2 linked regions of the Elephas maximus indicus genome follow. The protein of the gene in region 2 purifies or fractionates together with the protein of the main gene of each other region. This does not show direct contact. Links are inferred from orthologs where the notes say so. Each region holds a gene or a part of one and is shown on either strand. Other genes may lie near its edges.

Region 1 (7,361 bases), on a different chromosome or scaffold from region 2:
GATATGGATCTCTTCTAGTCATTTGGCCAGGAAGCTGTTTTCCATATTTCTTGGCATAGGCGGGTCAGCACCTCCAGCGCTCCATCTGTTTGTTGAAACATCTCAATTGATAGTCCATCAATTCCCAGAGCCTTGTTTTTCACCAATGCCTTCAGAGCAGCTTGGACTTCTTCCTTCAGTACCATCAGTTCCTGATCATATGCCACCTCTTGAAATGGTTGAACATCAACTAATTCTTTTTGGTATAATGACTCTGTGTATTCCTTCCATCTTCTTTTGATGCTTCCTGCGTCATTTAATATTTTCCCCATAGAATCCTTCACTATTGCAACTCAAGGCTTGAATTTTTTCTTCAGTTCTTTCAGCTTGAGAAATGCTGAGTGTGTTCTTCCCTTTTGGTTTTCCATCTCCAACTCTCTGCACATGTCTTTATAATACTTTACTTTGTCTTCTCGAGAGCCCCTTTGAAATCTTCTGTTCAGTTCTTTTACCTCATCAATTCTTCCTTTTGTTTTAGCTGCTTGACGTTCGAGAGCAAGTTTCAGAGTCTCCTCTGACATCCGTCTTGTTTTTTTCTTTCTTTCCTGTCTTTTCAATGACCTCTTGCTTTCTTCACGTACGATGTCCTTGATGTCATTCCACAACTCCTCTAGGACTCTGTCCTAGAGGGAGTCATTATGAGTCAGAATTGACTTGATGGCAATGGATTTCATTCAGTCTGTATGCTGAGCAAATAACTTGAAAAGGTGGACTACATAAAAAAGAACACAGCATCAGGATTGGAGGAAGACTCATTAACAACCTGCATTATGCAGATGACACAACCTTGCTTGCTGAAACTGAAGAGGACTGGAAGCACTTACTGAGGAAGATCAAAGACCACAGCCTTCAGTATGGAGGCTCAACCTAAAGAAAACAAAAATCCTCACAGCTGGACCAATATGCAACATCATAATAAATGGAAAAAAGTTTGTTGTTGTCAAGGATTTCATTTTACTTGGATGCATAATCAACACCCATTGAAGCAGCAGTCAAGAAATCAAATGATGCATTGCATTCGGCAAATCTGCTGCAAAAGACCTCTTTAAAGCGTTAAAAATCAAAGATGTCACCTTGGGGACTAAGGTGCACCTGACCCAAGCCTTGGTATTTTCAATTGCCTTATATGCACGTGAAAGCTGAACAATGGAAGATGGAAGAAGAATTGATGCATTTGAATTATGTTGCTGATGAAGAATACTGGACATACCATGGGCTCCACAAGAATGAACAAATCTGTCTTGGAAGAAGTACAGCGTGAATGCTCCTTAGAAGTGAGGACATACTTTGGACATGTTATCAGGAGGAACCAGTCCCTGGAGAAGGGCACCATGCTTGGTAAAGGAGAGGGCCAGCGAAAAAGAGGAAGACCCTCAATGAGATGGACTGACACAGTGGCTGCAACAATGGGCTCAAACATAGCAATGACTGTGAGGTTGGGACAGGACCAGGCAGTGTTTCATTCTGTTGGACACGGGGTCACTATGAGTCAGAAACGACTCCACGGCACCTAAGAACAGCAGCAATCTTTATGGGAGCAGATTGCCAGGTCCTTTCTCCTGCGGACTGGCTGGTGGTTTCAAACTGCTGCCTGTTAGCAGCTGAGTGCTTAATCACTGTTCCACCAGCTTTCCTAGAAGTTGAGAGAACCACTCCCTAACTTAACGACCTGCAATACACTGCCCTCAAGGCTTACTCCTTCATGACTGCCCTAGCCTTCAACAACCTCAAGGCTCTAGTCTCCCTCTCCCCCACCCCAGTGCTCTGCTTTTGGTTCTTTACTCTGCTTGCGCTTCTCTGAACCAACCACCTGCAAGTGCCAAGTAGTCCTCAACACAATTCAAACACTGCTTGAGCACATTCTATGTACAAGACTCCGAGAAGAGTAGATGTAATCCATACAGTTTCCCAAACACTCCAGAATTCCCATCTCTCCCTTTCCATCCTATTATATTCGAGCTGAAAAGACCTAGGACAACTCCTTCCTACTACCATCAAAGGGGGCTGCAGGGAGGTGAAGCCGTTTGTCCAAGGTTGAGGTAGGACCAGAAGATTGGTTCAGAGTTGAGGTAGAACCCATACCACTGGTTTAATATCCTGGAATCCTGACCGTCCTGTCAGCCTGGGAGGGTCATCCGGTATCACCTTGCTCAATCCTCTCGAGATAAAGCTATAGATACCGAGGGCTTTCCAGCTCACTTCCTCCCTGCAACCTTTATTTTCTAGTCCCCAAGAAGACGCACCTTCTCTTGCTTCCCAATTCTGCATCCTTCAGGAAGCAAAACACAGGACTTGAGTATATGGGTCAGGCACACATCCGTGTGGGCTCGCCTCCCTCCGCTCCGTGTCCACGTCCCCAAACCCCACCTCCTGCAGCTCCAGCCGGCCCGGGCCCCCGCGACCGCTCCCCTGGCCCCGCGATCGCTCCCCTGGCCCCCGCGACCGCTCCCCTGGCCCCCGCGACCGCTCCCCTGGCCCCCGCGATCGCTCCCCTGGCCCCGGCGACCGCTCACCTGGCCCCCGCGATCGCTCCCCTGGCCCCGGCGACCGCTCACCTGGCCCCCGCCGCCCGGAAGAGGTCGGCCCAGTCGTCCGGCTCGAAGAAGGTGGCCGTGAACTGCGGCCCGAAGTCGGCGTAACTGAAGCCGGGCGGGTAGTTCTTCTTCATGAAGAGCTCGTACTGGCGCTGCCCCTCGCCCTTCCAGTGCCACCAGAACCACTCGCTGCCCCAGGCCGGCACCGAGTAGACGCCCCAGTGCACAAACACCCCGAACTTGGCCTCGTCGTACCAGCCGGGCAGCGGCCGGGCGTCCAGACTTTCCCAGTCCGGGGTGTAGCGCTGATGAGCCCCCCGTCGTGGCCAGGCTCTGTGCCTCGACTCGGCCGCTCCGAGAGCCAGCAGCAGGAGCAGCGCCGCGCCCACCGCCCGCGACCGCATCTTCGGGGTACGCGGCAGGGCCGGCGCGCCTCCCCGGGGGCCCCCTCTTATCGCGCAGGTGCGGGGCGCGCGGTCTCAGCCCACTCCGACTAATGATTGGCTCGGAGGGAAGTAAAGGGGCGGGTCGCGCCGGACGCCTGAGCGACCGAGTCTCTTCCCTCAGCGCCGGCGGTCCCTGCAGCGCCCTCTGGCGCTCAGAGTCGGAAAGACGCAAGGAGGTGTTCAGAGCGCTCGGCGGAGGGATGAAGGAAATCTTTAAAAGGGATTTAGCTGCGGGATCAAACCGTGGAGCAGTCCATTTTTCTGCAGCAATCCTGCAGAGACAGGCTGAAGTCTGATTTCGGGTTTTAGTTACTAGGCAGTTGGGAGCCATAGGGGCTTTTTGAGCTGTAGTATGGCGAGGCCAAGCCTGGAGGCAGGGATACCAGATGGAAGGGCATTGTAACAGTCCTGGCAGACAAAATAGGACTTGAAGTAGAGGGATGATGGCAGAAAGAAAGCATTATGAGAGGGTATGGGAGAGAAAAGGAGCCCTGGTGGCGCAATGGTTAAGCGCTTGACTGCTAACCAAAATGTTTCTATTGCTCTGATGTCCCACGTGGCACTATCAGTCCCACATATCAGTGAAAACTGCAGTGTGACAGAGTTGGAAGGGACTTCGGAGATCCTCAGAGCCATCCCCTTTCCCATCTCCCCCATTTTACAGAGGAGGAAACTGAGGCCCAGTGAGAGGAAGGGAGTAGCCTAAGATCACACAGCTAGTTTGAGTCAAAGGTGGGACCAGAACTTAGGTCTTTGGATGCAGAATCTATGGCTGTCTCCACACAGCTTCTCTTTTGAACCCCAGAGGGGGTCAGAACCTGTGTTAGCAGAACCAAGAGCGTCCTCATCCTGGGAGTAATAAGGAAAGACAGTGACTGTTTCTGAGTAAACAGCTGTTTTCTATTTTGTATTTTGACCCAATCTGTATGCTGAGCAAATAATCCGAGAAGCTGGACTATATGAAGAATGCAGCATCAGGATTGAAGGAAGATTCATGAACAGCCTGTGATATACAGATGACGTTACCTTTCTTGTTGAAAGTGAAGAGGACTTGAAGCAGTTACGGATGAAGATGAAAGACTACAGCCTTCAGTATGGATTTCACCTCAACATAAAGAAAACAAAAATTCTCACAACTAGATCAATAAGCAACATCATGATGAATGGGGAAAAGATTGAAGCTGTTGAGGGTTTCATTTTACTTGGATCCATAATCTATACCCATTGAAGCAGCATTCATGAAATCAAATGATGTATTGTATTGGGCAAATCTCCTGCAAAAGACCTCTTTAAAGTGTTGAAAAGCAAAGATGTCACCCTGAGGACTAAGGCGTACCTTACCCAAGCCATGGTATTTTCAATTGCCTCGCATGCATGTGAAAGGGGGACAATGAATAAGGAAGATGGGAGAAAAATTGATGTCTTTGAATTATGGTGTTGATGAAGAATATTGAATATACCATGGGCTCAAAAAAAAAAACTTTTTTTTTTTTTTACCAGAAGAATGAACAAATCTGTCTAGGAAGAAGCACACCCAGAATGCTTCTTAGAAGCAAGGATGGTGAGACCCTGTCTTACATACTTTGAACATGTTATCAGAAGGGACCAGTTCCTGGAGAAGGACATCATGCTTGGTAAAGTAGAGGATCAGAGAAAAAGAGGAAGACCCTCAATGAGATGGATTGACACAGTGGCTGCAACAATGGGCTCAAACACAGCAGCAGTTGTGAGGGTGGTGCAGGACCAGACAGTGTTTCATTCTGTTGTACACAGGATTGCTATAAGTTGGAACCAACTTGATGGTACTTAGCAACAACAACGACATTCTTATTCCGTGTTTCTTCTTCTGTAAGATTATGTTGAAATATTGTCCAAAACAATAAACATTGACACCTTAAAATAAACTCAGTTAGACACTTTTTCCAGTGATCAGGATAAGCAATTGGTCTTTGATGTTGCAAAACATGTCTTGAGGAAGATAAAATGGGACACTGTGACCTTCATTTCTCCTTATGCTTATAACCAAAATGTACATCTGCAGGAGCAGATGACAGGCACTGTGGTAGAGTGGACAGAACTGGAAGCTAGGAAATCTGGGTTTCTCGTACTAGATACCATCTCGCTGGGTCTCCTTGGGCAAATCTGGGCCCTGTTTCCTTATCTAAATAATGAGGGCAGTTCTCAGTGATATTTAGGGTTCCTCCTCCCTCCTGTCACCCTTCTGCATAAATTCTGCTCCCTAGTTAAAGCAGAGAGTATAACTGCAGAAGGAGAGAGGTAGAAAGTAGGGAAGTGACAGCATTTAATTTAATGAATTTTTAAATCTAGTTTTATTTTTTCGACAAATATTTACTGAGTATCAATGTGCCAGGCACTTGGGCATCTTTTATGTGCAAATGAGAGAAGACCCACCAATGAATAAAGAAAGGCACACTGCAGCTTTAAGGAATCACAACATATGAACATGCAAATTTATTTAAAAAAATTACAGCATTTCTTCGCTTTACGAAGAGTTGGGTTAAAATAAAATTTGATTTTCCAAAATGCAGTTCACAATGAGCTTTTCAGAAACATTTCATTTCTAAGTTATTGACCAGACCCCTCGGGACCATATGCTGGGTCCTAGCTGAGCGCTGGGGACCCCCAGGGGAACACAGAGCTCATCATCTTGTGGGGAAGATGAACTGGTGACTGCAATTTAACACAGTCTGTGATATGGGCTATGACACCTGGTCAGACTTTGTCCTTGGGGACATAAAATGAAGTATGTTGAGATATAATTATGCAAACAACTTTGCAATGATCTAAGGAGTGATAATTCAAACAGAATTTGACTAAAGTAGGCTAACAGGCTAGTGGCTAACAGGGCAGGCTTTGGAGTCAAACAGATCTGGTTTGGAAACCCCCGCTTTCGCGGTATGACCTCGAACAAGTGTCTTTGCCTCTAGGAGGTATCCAGATACCAAGACCTTTGTCTTAGTCATCTAAATGCTGCTATAACCGAAATACCACAAGTGGATGGCTTTAACAAAGAGACATTTATTTTCTCACAGTAAAGTAGACTAAAAGTCCAAATTCAGGGTGTCAGCTCCAGAGGAAGGCTTTGTCTCTCTGTCGGCCTTCTCATCAATCTTCCCCCAGACTAGGAGCTTCTCTGCGCAGGGACCCCGGGTCCAAGGGATGCTCCTGGAACTGCTTTCTTGGTGGTATGAGGTTCACCACTCTCTGCTTGCTTCTCTTTCCTTTTATCTCTCGTAAGATAAAAGGTGGTACAGGCCACACCCCAGAGAAACTCCCTTTCCATTGGATCAGGGATGTGACCTGGTAGGGGTGTTATAATCCCACCCTAATCCTTTTTAACATAAAATTACAGTCACAAAATGGAGGACAATAGAATACTGGGAATCATGGCCTAACCAAGCTGATACACACATTTTGGCGGGGGACATAATTCAATCCATGACAACCTTCTTTATCAGGTTATTGATCTCAAATGATGATTTATATCTAACGATCAAATTCAACATGAAAATTAAGATGACTAGAATCTTAGCACTGTTGACGTATGTTTCTGTTCCAACTGGCTGCTGAGACTATGGTCAAAATGTGCGTATCCATTGAGTTCAAAAACCACGACAACCTTGAGTCTGTTTCTATCTCTATCGAGGCATTAAAAACCAAAACAGAACCAACCAAAAAAAACATCAAGCATGCAGAAGCCAAAGTAGTTGCTTCAAAATCTAAGTACATATTGACTTCGCATCAATATCATTGTCATCATCATGCAGCCCAGTGCCTGGCACGTAGTAAAACCAACCCACTTGTCGTCAATGCCATTCTGCTTATACCAACACGATGTATGTCAGAGTAGAACTTTACTCCATTGGGTTTTCTTTTTTAAAATTTATTTTGTGGTTGTTTTTGATAATACACACAGAAAACATACCTACACTAATTCAGCCCTTTCTACATGTACAATTTGTTGATATTGATTATATTCGTTGAGTTGTGCAGCCCTTCTCACCCTCCTTTTCTGAGTTGTTCCTCCCCCATTAACATAGACTCACTGCCCCCTAAAGATTAGATAGGAATATCTAATCTTTCAACTTGCTGTTGTCACTTTGATCCCATATAGAGAGTTCTTAAAAGAGCACAATGCTCAAGGCAGACATTCTTTACTAGTTTTGCTAATCTTTTTTTTATTATTATTATTGTTTAGTTTTAAGAAGACTCCAGGGATATTTTTGTTTTAAGTTTTGCTCCATTGGGTTTTCAATGGCTGATTTTTTTGAAGTAGATAAACAAGCCTTTGGGTGGGCTCTGGGTGGACTCAAGGCTCCAA
Region 2 (7,044 bases):
TGAAACCAGTCTAAGTAGTTTAAATCTAAATGAGGCGATGGAGGACCTTTGGGGTAAGGAATCAGCCCAACCAAATCCCTTTCTTTTTATTTCATAACATTAAGGCCGAGGAGAGACAGGAAGCCTTCTTACCACAAGACTGAGTTTCCATGACAATTTTAACTAAAATCGCAACAGCACCAAGAGGTTTCTTGCTCTTACCTGGTGGCATGATCTATTCCAGGGGAAGCCAACGCTTCTGGCAGCCCTGGCCTTGTGTCTAGAAGAGCTGCTGCTAATGTTTTTTCTTGTTTTAAAGAATACTGGCAACGACATTTACATTTAGTATGCAGCACAAAGAAACCACATTGCGGCAGTCTGCTACTCTCCTTTGCTGAACACAATGCCCCACAGCCTTGTGGAGAGAGGAGGCACTCCATCTCCACTCCCCACACGCCTGAGGGTGCCAGTCCAGTCAGTCACTTGGCCTCCTCCTACCAACTCATAATCAACAGTCTGGGAAAGTTCTCTGGTTAAGCAGAGACAACCTGCTAAAACAAAGGTTGTGAGAGAGGGCCTAGAGAGAATAGTTCCCAGGAGGCAGAGAGAAACGGCTGGCAGGCAGGGGAAGGTTGAAAAACTGTGAGATCTGAACCATGCCCCTCTGTTTCCAAAGCCCTCAGTCCCATGTTGCCAAACCCAGTGAGGAAATAGAAACCGACCATCCCTCCTTCTCAGCCCCTATTTCACCCCCAAAAGCAACCAATCCATCAGTAATAAAAGCGTCAACCACTGCAGGAAAAAATCCTCTCTGTAACTCCAGAACTCCTCTTGAGTTCTTAACTACCCAGTTGACAAGAGTGAGGGGGTAGGTAACAAAATAGGAAAAGCATGAAAACCATGGAAGATGTTAACAGGCAAGAGAACATAACAGTGGTTCTATCAGGATATGAAAAAAGAAGAGAAGAGGGAACCATTAAGAAGCTGATGAGTGGAAAGGATGCAAAAAGCACTGCAGCCCCCAGGGAGCAGAGCTCCTTTCCCTAGTCAAGTTTTTGGCCTAGTAAAAGTTCTCCACCAAGAAGGGTGTGACAGGCAGGGGACTCTCCACAGAGGAGTCAGCAAGGGCAACCGGAGATGGTGAAAGAAAGGGGAGGGGTGGAAAGTGGACGCCGCTCAGCTCAGAGATGTGATGACACAGAAAAGGCTAAGGCTTGGGTGACAATCTACTGCAGTGATTGCCAGCAGGAGGGGAAGCCTGTGGGGTCCTGAGGCTGAGGGGTCCTTGCATGCTCAAGAAACTAGCATGCAAAGTTCCTGGACTGGGAGTTACAAAGATTAGCCAATAGGAAGGGGATGCAGAGAGCCACATGTGGGTAAAATAAATATCATGTGAAAAAGGCAAGAGACTGACATGGAGATGAAAAGCGATACTGATTAAGAGGCATAATAAGGAAGATGCAGTGAGTAGTGAAACAGGAAAGCCACAAGCAAAGGGTAAGATACTATGAAAAGGGACAGAAACAGGAGGGACGAGACAGGAAGGCATCATGGTTTGCGTTGCTGTTTATGACAACGCAAGGCAAGGCCGGTGATGCAGCGAGGGACGGAAAGGACTGAGCAACAGGTTGTGTTAATACAGTGGGACTGAAATAGCAAGTGCCTTTCCGCCAGTAGGAAGAGCCCCGGGAGAAGGCTGGTAAAACACTGCCAGTGAGGAAGAGGAGGCAGAGGGGCAGAAACGTCAGACCCCAGGGAGGGTTACACGAGGGATCCAAAGACTCACAAGAGAGTGATAACTGGAACGCCGATGACAACCTGTGGGAAATCTATGCGCATGGCAGCCGTATGGGAAACACGGAAGCAACAAATGCCAGCGCCAGGAAACAGAGCGCTCCAGGAGAAAAGAAGGGAAAGTGATGAGCAAAGAGTAGGCGAACGACTTGGAAAGGTGATGAGGGTGGAGCTGGTGGGTTGCAAGCAAGAGGGAGTGCACAGTTTGGAGAAGGAAGAAGCAGGGTAGAAAAAGCTGGGGAACTGAAAGGGGATAGGAATCAGAACACACTCCGGGGCAAGGACCCTGAGGGAGAGAACCGGGGACTGGGAGAACCGGTGAGGGCAGAGGGGAAGCCAGACTAGGGAGATGGAAGAAGGGGTGGACAAAGATCTGTGACAAATCGTGGGGTGCTATTCGAGGAGCAGGAGGGTGGCTGCTTTAAGCGTGGGTGGAGAAAGACCAGAAAGGCCCCTGAGAGAAAAAAAGGAAGAGAAAGGGAAGCTGGGGATGTGACACGGAAGAGCGCAGGAGGGCGGTGAGAGGAAAGGGGGGCTGGCAGAAAGACAAGTGTGCAGCCTGCAGTCAGGACGAGGTGGGTCCCAGGACAGGACTCGGAAGGGGGATGTGCGGGGCCGGAAGCCAGATGACAGGGCAGCCGAGCTTGCAGGATGGAAGAGGAGGGAGGAGGCTCCGTAAGGTGCAGGGGCCCAGCCAGAGAATTCGGGGAGCCCTCGGGGCTCCTTACCTGCTCCGTGTCCCTCTCGTTCAGCGTGGGTAGGGGGGTCCGGGCGCTGGACATGGCGCCGGTATCTCAGGGGAGGGAACCGAGAAGCTTGGAGGAAGGGAGGGAAGGAAAGGCGCGGAGCCCGGCCGGGCGGGGCTTCTCACAGCAGGGGCACCCGCCGCATGGGCCCCGGCCGGGGGTGCGGGGAGGCCGGGCAGCCGCTCACGCCAGCCCGGGGATGCGCCGCTCGGGCTAGGCCGCGCCGGCTCCGAGCGGCTCCGGACCGCACCCCCCCGACCCCCGGCTGGGCTGTGCCGCCTTTCGGCCGGGCCGCGCCGCTCCGCCTACTCTCTGCCGCCGCAGCCGGCCGCCTGCCTCGCTCCTCCCCTGCCCTCAGCGGCACTGCTCCGCGCCCGGCACACAGGCTGCCGCCGCCGGACCTGCTGCTCCCAACATGGCCGCCACCACCGCCGGCCCTCGGCTCTTTCCGCCGGCAGCAGCCGGAAACATCCGAAGCGACCAGGAACGGGAGGGGGGCGGGCCTCCTCCTCCCAGCCACGAACTACGGGTGAGTTCCGGAAACACCCGAAGAAGGTAAGCCCCGGGGCGCGCGCGCCTCTTCGACTCCGAAGCCCAGGTTTCGACTCTGTTTGCGGAAATCCACGAAAAAAACTCCAGGCGCTCCAGAGCCATCCAGCCACGCCCACCGGCCTTTCCCCGCCCACTTCAAACCGGCTCTCGGTAGTTTTCGGAAACACCCGAAGCACCTCCGCGTGCTGTGAGTCGGCCACGCCCCCGCCCCGCCCCGTAATCGAGGGCGGTCGTCGCCCATTTCCGGCAACACCCGAGGCGGGGCGAAAGTCCGGTCGTCCCCCGGGGTGGTCAGAGTCTGTCTCTTCGTTTGTTTCCGCCAGTTTTCCGGTATTTTCAAAGCTTGAACATGGAGCGTGGGCAACCGTGCGCGATTATTTGACTAAGTAGAAGAAATAAAGCTGTTAGCCGTTCCTGCGATTGGCCCGTGTGCGTGTCCGTTCGTCCCTCTGTCAGTCAGCTCCTAAGATCCATCTTCGCGTTTATCATCCAACCTATCTATCAACGTGTGTGTCACCTGCCACATGCAGCCTTAGTCTATTACCTGTCTGCCTGCCATCCGCCTGTCTTGGCTTCTATTTATCCATCCATCCACCTAGCCCCACAACTAGTCAGGGATCCTCATGGTCCCGGGCAGACACCAGGTCAGCGTCCTTCGCACCCAGCTGCGGGGGGATCCGGAGGTCCCCCCAGCAGAACACTCAGAAAACAGGAGCCCCAGCCCGAGCTCTGCAGAGTGAAACTGCTGTGTGATCTTGGGAAAATCACGTAACACCTCTGAGCTTGGCCCCACATCCGTAAACTGAGAATCCATGCCTTTGTTCCAGCATTGACATTCTAAATAATATCTTTGAATTCTACTTACCATTTTAAGCGTCACTGCAAGATTGGATAGGAGAGACTTTCTCATTCTAATGCACATTTCAGTTATCCCATCTAAGACAGAGAAAACTCATGGGAAAGAGAAACTGGTTGAAAATGAGAATTCCTCAGGATGGCACAAAGAATGGGCACCAGAAGTTCCTTTCTTTGTCTGGACCTATTTCCCCAACAGTAAAGTGAGGTCATGGGATTCACGAGTTCTGAGGACCCTCCCAGCTTAGGAGAGTCCCTGACTTAACAGGAAGCCCATGTGGGCAACCCGAGCCCACTCCTCACCTCCCCCTGGACCTTTTCACCAAGGAGAGGCTGTAGACAGGTCTGATTTCTCTGGCTCCAAGCTGCACCCACCCATCATACTCCGGACATGTTGGAACTTGTCCATCCTCCTCATGCCCCGGGGCTCAACAGCCGCTTAAGGTGGGCAGGAGCCAGCAGCTTCACAGGAGCCAGAGACCAGACTCAAGCAATACATCCTCAAAGGTACAGAAGCAGAGGAGGCTCCAGCGGTTATGGAGAAGGTGCTGCTTGGGCCTCTGACATTTGACTTTAACTCTCAGGTGGAGCATCTGAGTAGAGCCCTTGGCCACATAAGTTAGAGAAATAGGCAGCCAAACAGATGCAACGGGAGGGGTGTGAAAAATACTTCCTAAGGCAACAGGTACAACCCACAGTCTTAATAATTGCAAGAGACTCTTGGACACCTCTCCACACCCCACCCTACCTCCATTCAGGCACCCAGCCATTGGGGAAGAAGTTGATGATGAAGCACAAAGGGAGGTGAGGAAAAAAGAGGAAGAGGTAAGGAGAGCGTTACCTCCCACTCCCCCTACCCTAATTTCCTCAAAAAATTCATGAGAATAATCTGCCCTCTGGTGGCCAAAGGGAGACAGGGACCACATGGTGATTGCTGTGCCAGATACCACCTCTCAGGCCTGGGGCAGGAAAAGGAAGGGATTGGAGGAGCAAAGGAAATGGGACTCAGGGTCTCTCCCTGGCCCATGCTCATCTAAGTAAATTTTACCTCCTCTATGCTTCTACTCACTCAAGCTGTAACCCCTGCCTCACCTCTGCCCTCTGACTGCCAGCCCTCCCCCTTCCCACCACCCACCCCATCTTTGGCTGAGCTCAGAGCTGCCTGTGGTCTCCCTTGACTCCCAACCTACCACACCAGTCATGCCAAAATAATCTTCCTACAGTCCAGCTCCAGTCCCATCTCTGCCCTGCTAGAAGGTCGTCGCAAGGTCTCCTGTGGTCTAGAGACAAGGCTGGCTTCATGGGCGTGTGACTTATGCAGTTGCACAAAGCCCTGCTCTTAGAAGGGCCCTGTGCTTGGCTTAATGCTTTCATCATCTTGACATTTTAAATAAGGGGGCCCCCTGCGTTTTCGTTTTGCACTGAACCCTACAAATTATGTAGCCAGTCCTGGCTGTAGGATAAAGCCTTTAGCCTGCATTTGAAACTTTGCACACTCTCACCTCAACTTACCTTGCTGATATACTTTCCAGCTAGGGATGATTGCTTGACCCCTCCCCTACTCCTGCCCTGTTCAGGCTGATCCCTTCACCTGGACTGCCTGTCACTGACCCCAGCTCCCAGATGCACTCCAAGATCCAGGTCAAATGACACCTTCTCAAATCCCCGAGGCCACCTAGCCTTGCTTAAAGATTAATTATTGCCACACTTACCCCTCTCTAATTTGCAGATTAATTCATTTACTGAATAAATTTCTATTGACATCTGCTATGTGCAAGGCACGGTTCTAGTATACCAGCTAACAAAACAGAGAAAGCTCTCTGCCCACGGGGAGCTTTACACTGCCCATAGAAGGGAAGACAGGTGATAAACATAATGGAAATGCCATGGCGGGGAAGGGGAGAGAGAGAGCCAGGTAAGGGGGATCAGGAAAGCAGGGGGTGGCAAACAGGCTGCAGTACTAAGGTGGTCAGTGTAGGCTTCACTCAGAAGGTGACATTTAAGCGAAGACTTGAAGGAGGTGAGGGAGTGAGTCTCAAGGAAAAGCATCCCAGGGAGAGAGAACAGTCAGTGGTAAGGCCCTGGGGCAGGAGCTAACCTGGCCTGTTTGAGGAACAAAGATGCCAACAAGACTGGAGGCAGGTGAGCAAGGAGATGAGTAGTAGGAGATGAAGGCAGAGAGGTGATGGGGATCCAGCCCTGGAGGGCCGTTGCTTTGGCTTTCCCTCAGAGGGAGATGGGAGCCTGTCATGAATTGAATTGTGACCTCTAAAAGTATGTGTCAACTTGGTTAGGCCATGATTCCCAGTATTGTGTGATTGTCCTCCATTTTTGTGATTGATGTAATTTTCCTATGTGTTGTAAATCCTAATCTCTGCTGTGGTTAATGAGGTGAGATTGGGTTATGTTAAAGAGGATTAGGGTGGGATGTAACACCCTTACTCAGGTCACATTCCTGATCCAGTGTAATAAAGGAGATTCCCTGGGGTGTGGCCTGCATCAGCTTTTATTTTACAAGAGATGAAAGAAAAGAGAAGTGAGCAGAGAGTTGGGAACCTCATATGATCAAGAAAGAAGCACTGGCAGCATTGTGTGTCCTTCGGACCTGGGGTCCCTGCACTGAGAAGCTCCTCCACCAGGGAAGATTGATGACCAGTACCTTCTTCCAGAACCGCTAAAGAGAAACTTTCTCCTGGAGCTGATGCCCAAATTTGGACTTGTAGCCTACTAGACTGTGAGAGAATGAACTTCTCTTTGTTAAGGCCATCCGCTTGTGGTATTTCTCTTACAGCAGCACTAGATAACTAAGACAGCCGCTGGAGTGCCATGCTCTCACCGATTGCTAGATTGAGAATGAAGGGACGGACAGGGCAAGAACAGAAAACTGGAACCAGGAAGGAGGGTTTTGCAGTAACTCAAGTGAGCAGTGACAGTGGCTTGGACCAGGCAGCAGCAATGAAAGTAATAAGAAGTGGTCAAATTTCGGATCTATTTGGAAGGGGGAGCCAACAGGACTTTGTGATGGGTTGGGTTTGAGATACGTGAGAGAGAGGAGTTGAGGATGATTCCAAGTTTTCCAGCCTGAGCAGCTTTTAGCGGAACAAATACAAAAGTAAAG

Evidence for each region. Proteins that work in one complex are often made in the same cells at the same time.
Region 1: the proteins of MARK2 (region 2) and FUCA1 purify together in Homo sapiens (affinity purification with mass spectrometry; 3 studies listed by BioGRID and IntAct, counting the BioPlex papers as one, with this or other methods). This does not show direct contact. The link is inferred for Elephas maximus indicus from reciprocal best matches to the Homo sapiens genes MARK2 and FUCA1.

Annotation. Positions count from the first base shown.
Region 1 is NC_064821.1:64,260,478-64,267,838, forward strand, and holds the start of FUCA1 (tissue alpha-L-fucosidase), read right to left. Parts: upstream 3,054-7,361; 5' UTR 2,978-3,053; coding exon 2,595-2,977; intron 1-2,594. UniProt on the Homo sapiens protein: Alpha-L-fucosidase is responsible for hydrolyzing the alpha-1,6-linked fucose joined to the reducing-end N-acetylglucosamine of the carbohydrate moieties of glycoproteins.
Region 2 is NC_064825.1:127,036,837-127,043,880, reverse strand, and holds the start of MARK2 (serine/threonine-protein kinase MARK2), read right to left. Parts: upstream 3,110-7,044; 5' UTR 2,556-3,109; coding exon 2,502-2,555; intron 2,484-2,501; exon of another isoform or gene 1-2,483. UniProt on the Homo sapiens protein: Serine/threonine-protein kinase. Involved in cell polarity and microtubule dynamics regulation. Phosphorylates CRTC2/TORC2, DCX, HDAC7, KIF13B, MAP2, MAP4 and RAB11FIP2. Phosphorylates the microtubule-associated protein MAPT/TAU.